Sus scrofa: one gene and its partners. The protein of the gene in region 1 interacts with the protein of each later gene in a pairwise test. Links are inferred from orthologs where the notes say so. Each region holds a gene or a part of one and is shown in the gene's direction. Other genes may lie near its edges.

Evidence for each region.
Region 2: the proteins of DAZAP2 (region 1) and RABGEF1 interact in binary tests that used the Homo sapiens proteins (3 or more experiments, as listed by UniProt). The two-hybrid records come from large-scale screens. The link is inferred for Sus scrofa from reciprocal best matches to the Homo sapiens genes DAZAP2 and RABGEF1.
Region 3: the proteins of DAZAP2 (region 1) and ZC3H10 interact in binary tests that used the Homo sapiens proteins (3 or more experiments, as listed by UniProt). The two-hybrid records come from large-scale screens. The link is inferred for Sus scrofa from reciprocal best matches to the Homo sapiens genes DAZAP2 and ZC3H10.

What each region holds. Positions count from the first base shown.
Region 1 is NW_018085018.1:160,693-164,842, reverse strand, and holds the start of DAZAP2 (DAZ-associated protein 2), read left to right. Parts: upstream 1-1,280; 5' UTR 1,281-1,345; coding exon 1,346-1,358; intron 1,359-2,356; coding exon 2,357-2,475; intron 2,476-2,884; coding exon 2,885-3,130; intron 3,131-4,030; coding exon 4,031-4,150. UniProt on the Homo sapiens protein: In unstressed cells, promotes SIAH1-mediated polyubiquitination and degradation of the serine/threonine-protein kinase HIPK2, probably by acting as a loading factor that potentiates complex formation between HIPK2 and ubiquitin ligase SIAH1.
Region 2 is NC_010445.4:16,374,029-16,378,178, reverse strand, and holds the start of RABGEF1 (rab5 GDP/GTP exchange factor), read left to right. Parts: upstream 1-1,583; 5' UTR 1,584-1,699; intron 1,700-4,150. UniProt on the Homo sapiens protein: Rab effector protein acting as linker between gamma-adaptin, RAB4A or RAB5A. Involved in endocytic membrane fusion and membrane trafficking of recycling endosomes. Stimulates nucleotide exchange on RAB5A. Can act as a ubiquitin ligase.
Region 3 is NC_010447.5:21,505,360-21,509,464, forward strand, and holds the start of ZC3H10 (zinc finger CCCH domain-containing protein 10), read left to right. Parts: upstream 1-1,150; 5' UTR 1,151-1,257; intron 1,258-1,370; 5' UTR 1,371-1,395; intron 1,396-1,788; 5' UTR 1,789-1,811; intron 1,812-2,080; 5' UTR 2,081-2,928; intron 2,929-3,709; 5' UTR 3,710-3,773; intron 3,774-4,105. UniProt on the Homo sapiens protein: Specific regulator of miRNA biogenesis. Binds, via the C3H1-type zinc finger domains, to the binding motif 5'-GCAGCGC-3' on microRNA pri-MIR143 and negatively regulates the processing to mature microRNA.

The sequences.
Region 1 (4,150 bases):
TGAAGACCCCCCAGAGCATTGCAGGGGTGCTCTGCTCTGAAAACTCTGAGCATAATATGCTACTGGAAACAAAAGCAAGGGATTGCTGAGCTGAAATCAGTGGTTTAAATCATTCATCAGCAAATATTTATCAGGCTTCTACGGTTTACTGAGGGCTTTTCTTTCCAAAGTTTTCCCTTTTCAGATGCTTTTCTAATGTTCTTACTGAAGTATAGAATGTAAATTCCATAAGAAAACAATGTTTGCCTGTCTTGTCCAGCTCCATCTCTACTTGCACAGAGCAACACCAGCAGATATTTTAAAACGAAGAATGGAAGGAAAAACTTATTTGCTGCCTGAAAGGATGCCATCTTTGCCCTTAAGAACAAGGTTTTTGTTTTGTTTTGTTTTGTTTTGTTTTGCCTCAGCTAGGAATGCAGAAATTCCCACGCCAGGGGTCAAACCCTTGCCATAGCTATAACCAGAGCCACAGCAGCGACAACGCCAGGTCCTTAGACCACTGAGCCACAAGAGAACTCCAAGAACAATTAATTTAGGAGATACACAAAGGAAAATATACATGAGGTATCACACAGTTGCCTGTAACAGGTACCAAAGGAAGGGCAGGGCCACAGGCACTCCTTGGGGACCACAAGAATGCCAGTTTCAGTGTTAGCTGTAGTGTGTGTGGGGGGGGGGGGGGTTCACAGCACAGCATACCCTTCCTTTTAGTGAGAAAGCGACACTGAAATAAACACAGAAGCCTGTCGGTAGAATGGACAGGCTGAGAAAATTCGAGTGATGGTCTAAGTCAGAAAAGGACAGATGTGAATACGACCAGCAAAATAAACCTCTATGGAGTTGAGGCTTAAGTTGGGTTTAATGGGAGGGGAACACGGGATAAATCAAGGGTTTGAGGAGCGTATTTCAGGCAGTTAGAGAAATTCGTAGCACTGTGCCCCCTGTGGAAAGACTCTCAAAGTAAGGTGACCTTGAGTTGCAGTGCGTAGGTGGGAAGGGTTTCGGGGAGCAGTGTGAAGGTACTGCCTCAGAGCGACCAAGAGAGAAAAGATACTGTTTTGAGACAATACCTGTACTTTGTTTTCTTCCAATCAAGGGACAAGGGTGGGGGTTGGAGGGCTCGACCCAGTGGGCGGGGCCAAAGTGAGTGGGCGGATCACGCGGGTCCTTCCTCCAGCTACTGGAGACCTGGCGAAGGGGCGGGGTTTCCGGTGGCAGCGGCATTCGGGCGTCGGGTGACGCTAGGCGGACGAATCGTCACGTGACACGGAAGTGACTACGAACAGGAAGAGGACGAAAAAAATAACCGTCCGCGACGCCGAGCTGAACCGGACCCGCAGCCACCATGAACAGCAAAGGCAAGGACAGGGGGTAGCTGAGGCCATCGGGGAGAATAGTGCTGGCCCGGAGAGAGCGGGCCCGGGACCAAGGGTCATCAAAAGCCAGGCCTGGGGCTAGTTGCGCCGCGCTCCTGGGCCAGCTGTAGTGCCGGGGGTTGCGCCAGACGCCTTCGTCATCCCCGAACTACGGCTGCTCGCCCCCTCCTGGCCTTTTCCCCCTTAAACTCTGTGGCGCAGTTTGGAGCTCCGGGCTCGAGTGGGGGGCCGTTGGAGCGGGGGGGGGGGCGAGAAGGCTTGTCGTGATGGGCATCTGCAGGCGCAAATGGGGAGCTAGAGCTGATATTTGGGTAGGCCAATGGAGAGCCTGCGGAGGCGGGGCGCCGCGCTCCGGAACCACAGGCAGGCCCCAGGGCTTAACTAGTGAATTGCCGGCCCTGGTGGGCGGGCCGGGCAGGCCGAAGGGTCTCTTTCCCCTTAACCTCGCTGGCCGCCTGAACGTCTCCCAGTTCCTGTGTTAGGACATTCGCCTCCACCTCCTCTCCCATCCCAAGGCTCACTTTCACCACTCTTTTTATTTGGAAGTCGACCTTGAGTAGGAACCTGTGAGGTGGAGGACTACAAACACCGTTACTCACGAGCTCTAGGCCAGTTTCAGCCAGGCCCTGGGGGACCACCAGAGCAGAGAGGACGCACACACTTAAAACATCGACAGGAATGGGTGCGCAGACATGCCCATTCTGGAAGGATCTTGGGCCTAGATAGACTTTCCCCTTGTACCAGTGTGCTACTGTAAAGAGACCTTCCAGCCCAGTTAGAATCCAGCATCTCAGTTATAAGGGTACAAAGAGTGTTTATTTTCTTGGTTCCAGGAATCAGGCCCTCTAGGACAGTGTTTTTGCAAACCTCTTGCTGGCTCAGTGAGGTTAGCTACCCAGTATGCTCTGCCCCATTTTGGTTGCTCTGTGTGGTAGGCAACATTCTTTTTTTTGTTTTTTGTTTTTTTTCCTGTCTTCCAGGTCAATATCCAACGCAGCCAACCTACCCGGTGCAGCCTCCCGGGAATCCTGTGTACCCTCAGACCTTGCATCTTCCTCAGGCTCCACCCTATACTGATGCTCCACCTGCCTATTCAGAGGTGCTTCCAGTTTACTAGACTTGAACTGAGTACTCTTGGATCACATTTTCAGTCTTTAGCTAAGTCTGGCTCCACACATGTATTTACTCTCCACAAACAGGAGAGAGAGCTCACGTGGATAATCTAAAACCTCTTTATAGTTCAGCAATTTCAGTTGGGGTTGAGAAGGCATTATCTGATTATTTTGCTCTTTGGCACAGGCTGAAGTTGAGAAGATGAGTTAGCGTTCTTTGAGCCCAACATTATTTCTAGCAGGAAGTGATCCAGGAGGATATTGAGTGGCTGGTGGAAAGGCAACTTGTGTAACTCAGAGTGTAATCTGCACAATAATTAAGAATTGCCTCATGAAAGAGATCTGAAATAAGAATGTCATAAAGTAACGTGTTGCCCTCTCTTCTGCCTCTTCTAGCTCTATCGTCCGAGCTTTGTGCACCCAGGGGCTGCCACAGTCCCCACCATGTCAGCTGCATTTCCTGGCGCCTCACTGTACCTTCCCATGGCCCAGTCTGTGGCTGTTGGACCTTTAGGTTCCACAATCCCCATGGCTTATTATCCAGTTGGTCCCATCTATCCACCTGGTTCAACAGTGCTGGTGGAAGGAGGGTATGATACAGGTGCCAGATTTGGAGCTGGCGCTACTGCTGGCAACATTCCTGTGAGTATGCCTTTATCACAAAAACCTCAGCCCTTGTGTATATTAACTTTCTGAAATGACTACATAGTCATCCTTTCATCATCCCTGGGCAGTAGTTGCTGGTATTGGTGCAACCACTGACGTCCAGTAATCAGGCAGAATTCACTTGAGGGGGCAGGAGAACTGTGGGAAGTCAGTAGCCTCTGGCATATTCACTGAGGTCTGAGTTAACCAGATTCCTTTGTTTCTGTCTTAGGAGTCCTGCCTGCTGCTTTTCCAGTTCACTTTGGTACTGGTCTAGTAACACTCCTCATTCATTCCATAAGCATTTACTTAATATTTGCACAGCATTTTATCAGGAGCCATGATGATTAAAAAGTAGAATGCGTATCCCTGTTAAGTTCCCTTTAGGAAGACTTTACTAGGGCTTTTACTATGTCTCCCACTTAGTTTCCCTATGTATGGTAACTAGAGCCCAAATGGTCCTTGCTAGGGCCATTCACGCAGTAACCATATGCTAACAATGAGGTGAGAATGCTGTCATCAGGTAGAGCCTTCAGATTATCCATGTGAAAACTGTTGAGGAACTCTGTGGTGTAGGGCCATGGACCTGGTAACCCCTCCCCATTTTTTGGAATGGGAGTCAGAGGGATTTTCCACCCTGCAAATGCTTATGGGTCTGGACTGTGCATACCCAGGAGGGATCCCTAGGCTTTATCTTGGATCTGGGACCCTTTAAATGAGGGGTAGGATCTGTTTTCTGTTTATGTCTTGGGGCTCACAGAGAATATAGACCTGCTTCACCCACACTGCTGGCTCAAGTAGCACGTTGCCATCTTCCTGACCGGTCCTCTTTCATCTTTGTCCACTTCTCTCGTATCAGCTGCCCGGTGCCCAATCAACCTTGTCTTTTCCTTTCAGCCTCCTCCCCCTGGATGCCCTCCCAATGCTGCTCAGCTGGCAGTCATGCAGGGAGCGAATGTCCTCGTAACTCAGCGGAAGGGAAACTTCTTCATGGGTGGCTCAGATGGCGGCTACACC
Region 2 (4,150 bases), on another chromosome or scaffold:
AGTCACCTCCTTAGCCAGGGCTTTGCTGTCCACCCAAAAACCTCAGTCTTCCTGGTTGACTGGCTGGCCTTCCTTGCATGATTTTTCTTCAAAGCAATCACTGCTGTCTCATGTACTATTGTACATAATGTATTTATTATTTACTTATTCCCCCCCCACCACCTCTTCCCTAGAATGTAAGCTTCTCAGCATAGGTACTCCCCCACCCCCCCCACCACTTTTTAACAGTCTGGTATCCTTGGCCTAGCACACACATTAGGTGCTGTAGGGGAGGGGAAATCATTTTCCCTCTGCTCTTCTAAGTTATAATAAAAGAGTAATAAGCAAAAAAACAAACTGAAAATTATTACCATGTATACCTCACACATACAAAGGAGATACCCTGAGAAAAGGCTTAGAATGCCCACTTAAATACCATTTTCCAATAAAGAAAAAACAGGAAAGGTGTTTGTGTGTGTGTGTGTGTGTGTGTAGGGGAGACCAGTTATGGGAGGTGACCAGGGGAATAAAAATAAGCTTAAGGTTTGTCATGCAGCTCTAAGTCAGTGTCTTATCCATAGTTGAGCTTCTAGTGACCTAAGAGTCATCCTTCTCTCCCAGGTACAGAGGGAGACCCCTTTACTAACGTGATCTCCTTCATTAGCTTCATTTCCTGTACAAAAGGTTAACTTCTGGTTTGTTTTCAGGGCTTCTCTGCTTTCTCAGAGGCATATTTTTGGGTGGCATATTCTGCTTCCCTACAGAATTTAGGAATAATCTGAGGAATGAATCAATCTCCATTTGGCAAATAATGAGCAAAGACTGAGAAATTAGACAACCTGTCCAAGATCAGAGGCAGCATTTAGCAAACCTGGTATTCCAACTTAGGTCTCCCTCCAGACACTGTACTCTAGTATTTTCTTTTCTTTTTTCTTTTTTTTTCTCCCAGTCGTGGCTGCACTTTGTGCCATAGATACCATCCAGAATACAGAGGCAGCCGCTGTCTCCAACATTCCTGAAATGGGAATCACGGAGAACTGGATTCCATTTATGACTCGATCATTAATACTGTGTGACACTGGGTAACTTATTAACCTCTGGAATTCAGTTATGCTCAGCTATAAAACCTGCTTCTAGGTCAGTCACTCTCTTTAAGGTCCTTTAAACTCAAACCACGTTCAAAATCCTAAGATCCGTGTGAAGCTATGGGATTCATTACTTTCTCAGGCAGCCTCATTCCCCACAGACTGCAACTGTCCACTGGCCCAAAGACTTCTCTCCCGCAGCCTTTCCAGTGCCTCCCATTTCGAGCTAAGGATGAGCAGCGTCTCTCTCAGTGGGATTCCCAAATACAGTGGGTGAGGAAAAGACAGGGAAACGCCGGCTTCTCCGTCGGCTTCTGAACGCTCCAGGTCAGGGACCCAGCACTAGGGCTGAGGGCGCCTCCTTCCTCATGCCCGACGGCTTTGTCGCCACTGTCATCCACGCCAGCCTCGCCCTCGCGCCACCCAGGGCAGATGCCGATGGGCACCTACACCCTCCCGGCGAGCTCCGAGCCCCGGAAGTGACGTCATGCGTGCGTGGCGTGCGCTCGCGGCGCCGGGGGCGGGGCGTGCGAGAGGGAGGGCCGGCGTGAGGGCGGGTTGTGGACTGGCGCCGGGACCTACTCGAGCGACGCGGGGAGAGCTGCGGTCCCGACGCGGGTGGAGCAGCCGGCGAGGTACGGGGCGGACGGACGGGACCCGAGGGGGGCGCGGTTCGCGACTCGCGGTGGCGGTGCCGTCCCGACAGGGGCTGCTGGGTCATTGGTCTAGGCTGTCCACCCGGCCGGGGCCATCTCGCTCCGGTCCCTCTTGCCGTCCTTCGTCCCAGCCCAGGGCCCGGTGGCGGGGCCCTGGCCGGTCCCAGGCCGTCGCCGGCCCCCTTCATCCTCTGCGCGTTCGGCCTGCCGTTTTAGGGCGCTTGTCGCCAAGTTGCCCGCGGCCCGGCCCAACTCCGACGGACAGACGCGTCTCGTTTCCTGGCCGCCTCCTGCCGCCTGTCCAGCTCTCGCGGGATGGCTTCCCTCCGACCGGCTCACTCAGTCCAGTCGGCAGAGTACCAAGGGACACCTGTGGTGGTGACCGGCTGGGTCGTGCCTTGGGCTCCTTGGGGACCCGTCGCAGCCCGGCCTGGGCAGGGCCGCCGGGACCTCGGGAACCCGCGTCGGTCTCAGAGAGGGAAGGGTCCGGGAGCTGGGAGGATGCTGTCTTTCGCGGCGTGGGAGCTGGAAGACTGGTCCTAACTTTCGCCCTATGATTGAGGACAAAGTTGTGGGCCTGAGGTTAGGAGCACAAGTCCCTGCTTCCGAACCGTCTTGGAGGAGAGCAGAGGTGATGCTCATCACGGAAGTTTAGTCGACAAGGAGGAGGGACCCAGCCGCTTCAGGGAGTAGATCAGAGTCTGCTGGTGGTGTCTCAACGCTGATGGCCAAGCCCTGTGATTGGGAAATGTGTCCGTGGGCTATGGGGGCTCGCTTTGCTCATGAGCTTAGATGTGAAAATTGGTCAGGATGAGTTTACAGCATCACCTGGGGAGTCGTTTTTTGGATCTGAAGAGTTGTGGCTTTTGTTTTGTTTTTGAGATTAACTCATTGTTGTACCTTTTTCTGTAAACCTAAGGCTGCAAAAGTACACTTACCCCCCCCCCCAAGTCTATTAAGGTTACTAATAAGTAACTTAAGCAGTACCAAGGAAGCTTCCCAGAGGTGCAAGAAGATTTGATTTTTATTCGATCCATTTCATGACAGATAACGTTAGTTTTAAGAGTTACTGATTCTCAGGTGGAAAATTAAGAAGTGTTGAAGGATTTGAATTTTGGGGACCTTCCAAGCCATCATTTTCTTCTCCAGAAAGTAGGCACTTTAAGGGAGAAGGACAGCAGAGATCCTTGCCATAAATGTGAGCAGTGTGAGCTAAGAGAGGTCACTGAGGGGGGACACCCCAAGTGTCTGGAGGGACCGCAGGGAGTGAAATGTATCTGAAAGTGTCCTGAAGAATGAGTAACATTCAGACTAGCAAGATGGGGTGGGAATTTTAGGGGTAGTGGGAATGTGGGCGTGGGGCAACTAAAGGAGAAGAGGGCAGTAACTCCCGGGAGGTGGTTTTTGAAAAGTGAAAAAGTGCAGGGCAGAGCTGTGGTGGCTGATAGGGGAAAAGATGCAGGAGATTCTTGGGGGGCTTTTATCTGGTGATGGCAGGACCAGGGAAGGGTTTTAAGGAGGGTTATTTGCCTGGTTAAAATGGAATTTTATATAAGGCTTACACATAGGCTGCTGTGTGTTGACTGATGAGGGTTGTTCCCAGCATAGTGCTTGATTATGTGCTATTTGTATTTTAATCTTTTCTGCTCCTTAAATGAATTGAATTCTCTTCTCATTTAGTCATTGTGGGAGAGTGTCTGACCCTGCTTACTTGTAAGCTTCTATAAACAGGAATTCTGCCTGTATCTCTTTGCTTCTTAATCCAAGTTGGGCTTTCAGAAGTGTTCCATGAGGACTTGAGAAATCATTGATTTCCTTTTCTTTCTTTTTTCTTTTTTTTCTTTTTGTCTTTTGTCATTTTGTCTTTTGAGGGCCAAACCCAGGGCATATGGAGCTTCCCAGGCTAGAGGTACAATTGGAGCTGTGGCTGCCAGCCTGCACCCCAGCACCAGATCCGAGCAGCATCTGTGACCTACACCACAGCTCACAGCAACACCGGAGCCTTAACCCACTGAGCAAGGCCAGGGATCGAACTCACAACCTCATTGTTCCTAGTCGGATTCATTTCTGCTGCACCACGACGGGAACTCCTCTTTTTCTTTTTTTTCTCTCTATCTCTCTTTTTTCCGTTTTTGAGCCGCTCTTGTGACACAAGGAAGTTCCCAGGCTAGGGGTTGAATTGGAGCTATAGCTGCTAAAGGACTATGCCACAGCATAGTAGGTCCTAAACCTACTCAGCGAGGCCAGGGATCAGACCTGCATCCTCATGGATGCCAGCTGGGGTGGTTACCACTGAGCCACAATGGGAACTCCAAGGAATCATTGATTTCTGATTTTCAGTGGTTGGTTTTCAGAAAAAACATTTTTGATCAGTACTTATTATCTACATATAGAAGAACTAAGATATTGTTTCATTTACTCTTGTCAGTG
Region 3 (4,105 bases), on another chromosome or scaffold:
TGGATTCTTAACCCACTGCACTGGGGCAGGAACTCTTAGGGTTTTTATTTTTGTTTTCAAAAACTTATTCCATTCTAGGAGCTCCCCTGGTGGTGCAGTGGGTTAAGGATCTGGCGTTGTCACTGCAGTGGCTCAGGTCGCTGCTGTGGCCTGCCTGGCCTAGGAACTTCAACTTTTGCATGCAGTGGGCGGGGCCAAAAAACCAAAAACTTACATTCTGATGGAGATAATACTAAAACCACCTAAGCACTTGGAACAAGGGTCCTAAATTTAGATATTTTTTTTTCCAGAGCTAAAAAGGGGAAAGGTTATAAAAGGAAACCACTAAAAAAAAAGGATTATAATAAGCCTTTACTGTATTTTACAGTGAATAAGGCGAAGTCTGCATGATTAAAGGTTCCCTTTCATCCTAACTCAAGTTTCCTGTAACCAAATCTTTGGGAGTCTTTTTCTGGGTGCTTCTGACCCAATCATACGAGGAGACTGGCAAGTTATCTTACCATCAAATACCATTCTTGTCCTAAAGAAATGTCTAGCCGATCCTAGCTAGCTTCCCTTCTGTTCTTTGATTTGATCTTCACGTTGTGTAGAGGGAGAATCACTTAAGTATATTCTAAGCCAGATGCTTTGTGGCCAGGAATCTAGTGACATTCTGCCTCAGGCGTTGGAGTTGGCTAGAAAAAGAGTTGATCTATCTTAAATAGTGCCAAAGGTCTCTGTAGTATGACAAGCTTTCTCGACTCCCCACTTTACATCCTTCCACGTTCTGGAATCTTAGAACCTTTGGAAGTTCCGAAATAGAATCTCCCTGCAGCAACTTAGGTTCAGAACATAAGGCAAACCAGTTTTTGTAAACTCTGCATCTATCCACAGTAAAATGGAGGGTGTCGCCGGGAAACTGCAACTCCCATGAAGCAATGAGAGGGAAGACGGAAGTCACTAACCTACGCTTTTCTGCACTTCTGGGTCTCTTACTGGAAATACATGCTCATATTTAAATAATATAGTATCCTTATAATAAAACCTGGGGAAGGGAAATTTTGTAACTCACACTCAAAATAGTCTATTTTCCAAGAGAACTGTCCCAACTCAAACACTTACCACGAACCCAAAGGGCCAAAAGCTATTGTTATTACCCTCCCGCAGCCCCGCCCCTGGGGGCAGGGCGAGACCACGGAAGTGACGACACCGAGCATTGCATTAAATATCCGTAGGCGGGCCCCTAGCGCTCTCTCGGCCTTAGCGCCATCTTCTGAGGTGAGTCTCGGTTTGGGCTCTCTCCGGTTCCGAGTACAATCCGTAAACATCTGATCTCTGCGATTGCCATCATTACAGCGAACTAACTGTAGACTTTTTTTCTTTACCCGTAGAAACCTCCGCGCCATGAGAGCGAAGGTAAGCAGTCCCCGTTAGTGAGCTGAGGCTCTAAGAATTGGCAGTTGCAGGGGAGACCCAGGCAAGGGAAGTCCGCCATCGTTCTCGGATCGCTAGGTTCTCAAGGGTGCCCAAGAGCTGGTGGGACAGGGAGGATAGTTTGGGGAGAAGCAGAAGCTGGGAGTTAAGTGGGGGTGGAGAGCGGGAATAGGATAGCGCATGCGGGATTGGGGTTTTACAGCGGGGATCCGGGTGGGAGTCCAAGTTGTTGATGTGATTACTGCGACTAAGTCCTCCTAAGTGGTTAAACCTGTCTGGTTAAAAATTACACTATTTATATTCCTCCCTAAACTCGTTGCTACAACTAATGATATCTCGTTTTATTCTCTGCTTCTGGTTGTGATCGGTTGACAGTGGAGGAAGAAGCGAATGCGCAGGTATGCTGAGACTGCAAGTACAGGGTGGGGGAACTGGAGCACACCTTGGGCGAAGCTTGGGAGGAACATTTGGTTTAGAAATCTAAACAGCTTAAGATGAAAAACATGAGCATTGACTTGGCAAAACCAGGGATTGGACACAAGAGGATAGAACCGTAGTGTTCGTTGATTTTTTTTACCCACCCCTTGTATGGTATGCACATTTTAGATGGGAGGGAAAGAAGATTGGGTTTGTGGGCAGGAGGTGCATTCTCGTGTCTGGTTTTCAGGCTGAAGCGCAAAAGAAGAAAGATGAGGCAGAGGTCCAAGTAAACTTGTACACCGTGGAAGCCACAGGAGCAGAAACGAAATCCCAGAGGCCAGGGACGTTGGTACAATTTGTTGGACTGCATGCCTTCTGTCTAGAACTTGTCTCAATGGATCTATAACAACTTTTCGCCGTTCTGATCGCCTGGACCACTCTGAGACCCACCTTGCTCATATCAAAATGGTCCCTTTTGGTTTTTTGCCCTGGACCTGTGACTTTCTGGACTAGTTCTGTTCTCAGTTGTGGCTGAATGTAACACGTGTACAATAAATTATCTGCTGTTTTAGCTGAAGAAAAAAAGTCATCTTGTCTGTTGATGTGGTTTTTATGGTTCATTGGCTGGGGTGTTCTGTATGAGTACTCGCTTTAGAGAATATCTACACTGAGTCGGGGGTGCGGGCCCCGCCCCTGGCCGACTGGTTCTGGACCCTGGGAGTTGCTGGAGTGTTGGGTGGCTCTTATTTCCTGGAAAGGGCGTTACACACGTCAGGGACCGCTTTCAAGTTGATTTCGCCGGCGTGTGGGCAAACAGTTCCGCTCATCGTCCGAAAGGGCTACATTTGCTACGTCCCGCGCTTGGGGCTCTTTGCTGTGCTGTTGGGTCCGGTTGCCATGGTGACACGCAAAGCCTGCTGGGAACTTCCTGCGGCTAATCGCGCAAGTGCTTCGTGAGCCATAGAGTATAGTTCCGGGTCTGGCGGCTAGAGCGTCATTTCTTCCGCAGGAAGCGGAAGGGCGATAGGGTAGGCGGCTCTTTGTCGAAGCTAGAGGACCGGCAGGCGGCAGCAGCAACTACGGCGGCGGCGGCAGGTGAGGGAGGCGGGAGACTTAGGTGGAGGCCGCGCCCGGAGGGGAGGAGTCGGGGCCGGCCCAGCGGCTGGGCTCGGCCGGGCTACACAAGGCCCCCCAGGACTGAGTTTCCTCTGCCTCACGTCCTAGGGCTGAACCCCTTTTCTGACTGACCCCGCTTTGCGAGCAAACGCCAGCTCCGTGACGTCACAGCCCTGCCCATCCCCTCAGCCTCATGTCACCTGGAGTCCCCCTCCCCGCTTCACTTCGTGCTCCTCTAGTGTCCTGTTCACCTGGTCCCCGGCTGAGCTCTGGCGGTACTGCACAGGAACCTGCCAGACTAGAAGACTTGCTTTGGGAAACTCCTAGGACTTTTCGCAAACTCTGGGGTGTTTCGAAGCGTCATAATCACCGCCCCCAAGTCTAATCTGCCATCCCACTGCGCTGTCAGTCGCTGCCCTTGCACGGCTCCCTATTCGGAGTTCTTAACGCCAACCCTAGACCAGGCTACGATCCACGCATCCTCCTTCATCTTGGGGCAGGACGCCCCTCACCCTTTGTTCACTCAGGACTGGTTTTTTTCCAACTCATCCTCCTAGGCTGTCCAAATTTGTTCTGTTCCTTATTATACTCTTCTTACTGATAGCTTCTGCCTTTGACAGGTGAAGTTCAATTTGTACCCTAAGGAAATCTTAGTTCCCAGAGCTCTTGCCATTTGATTAGACTTTATTCTTGTAACCACCCCATAGTCCTCTGTTCTAATCCCTTCTCACACCCAAGTCTCTGTTTTTCTCCTGTTCAGAACCCAGCAGTGATGTGGAGGTGGAGACCCACAGGAGCCCCGGACTTCACCTGAGCTACCTCAGGTATCTAACAATCCTGGGAGAGTTGGGTGGGCAAGAGTATGGTATCTGATTATCTGCTTCTGGTGGGACTTGCAACATGGATCAGGCTTGGATAGGTGCCATTTATTTTTCCCCAGGTCATTTCCTTTTTAGTAGAACTTTGTATCTTCTCTTTTCTCAACCCTTTTTCCTTGGTTATTTTTATCATTCTGGGACTGTCTCTGTTTGGAGGAAGAGGAGCCTTCTTGTACAGATTCTCTTGCAACTCTGGTCCTTGATAGCATGAGTTCATTTTAGGGTTCATTTTGCCTTTAAGTTAAAATCAAGGTAAAGGACTGAGTGGTTAGGGGCCA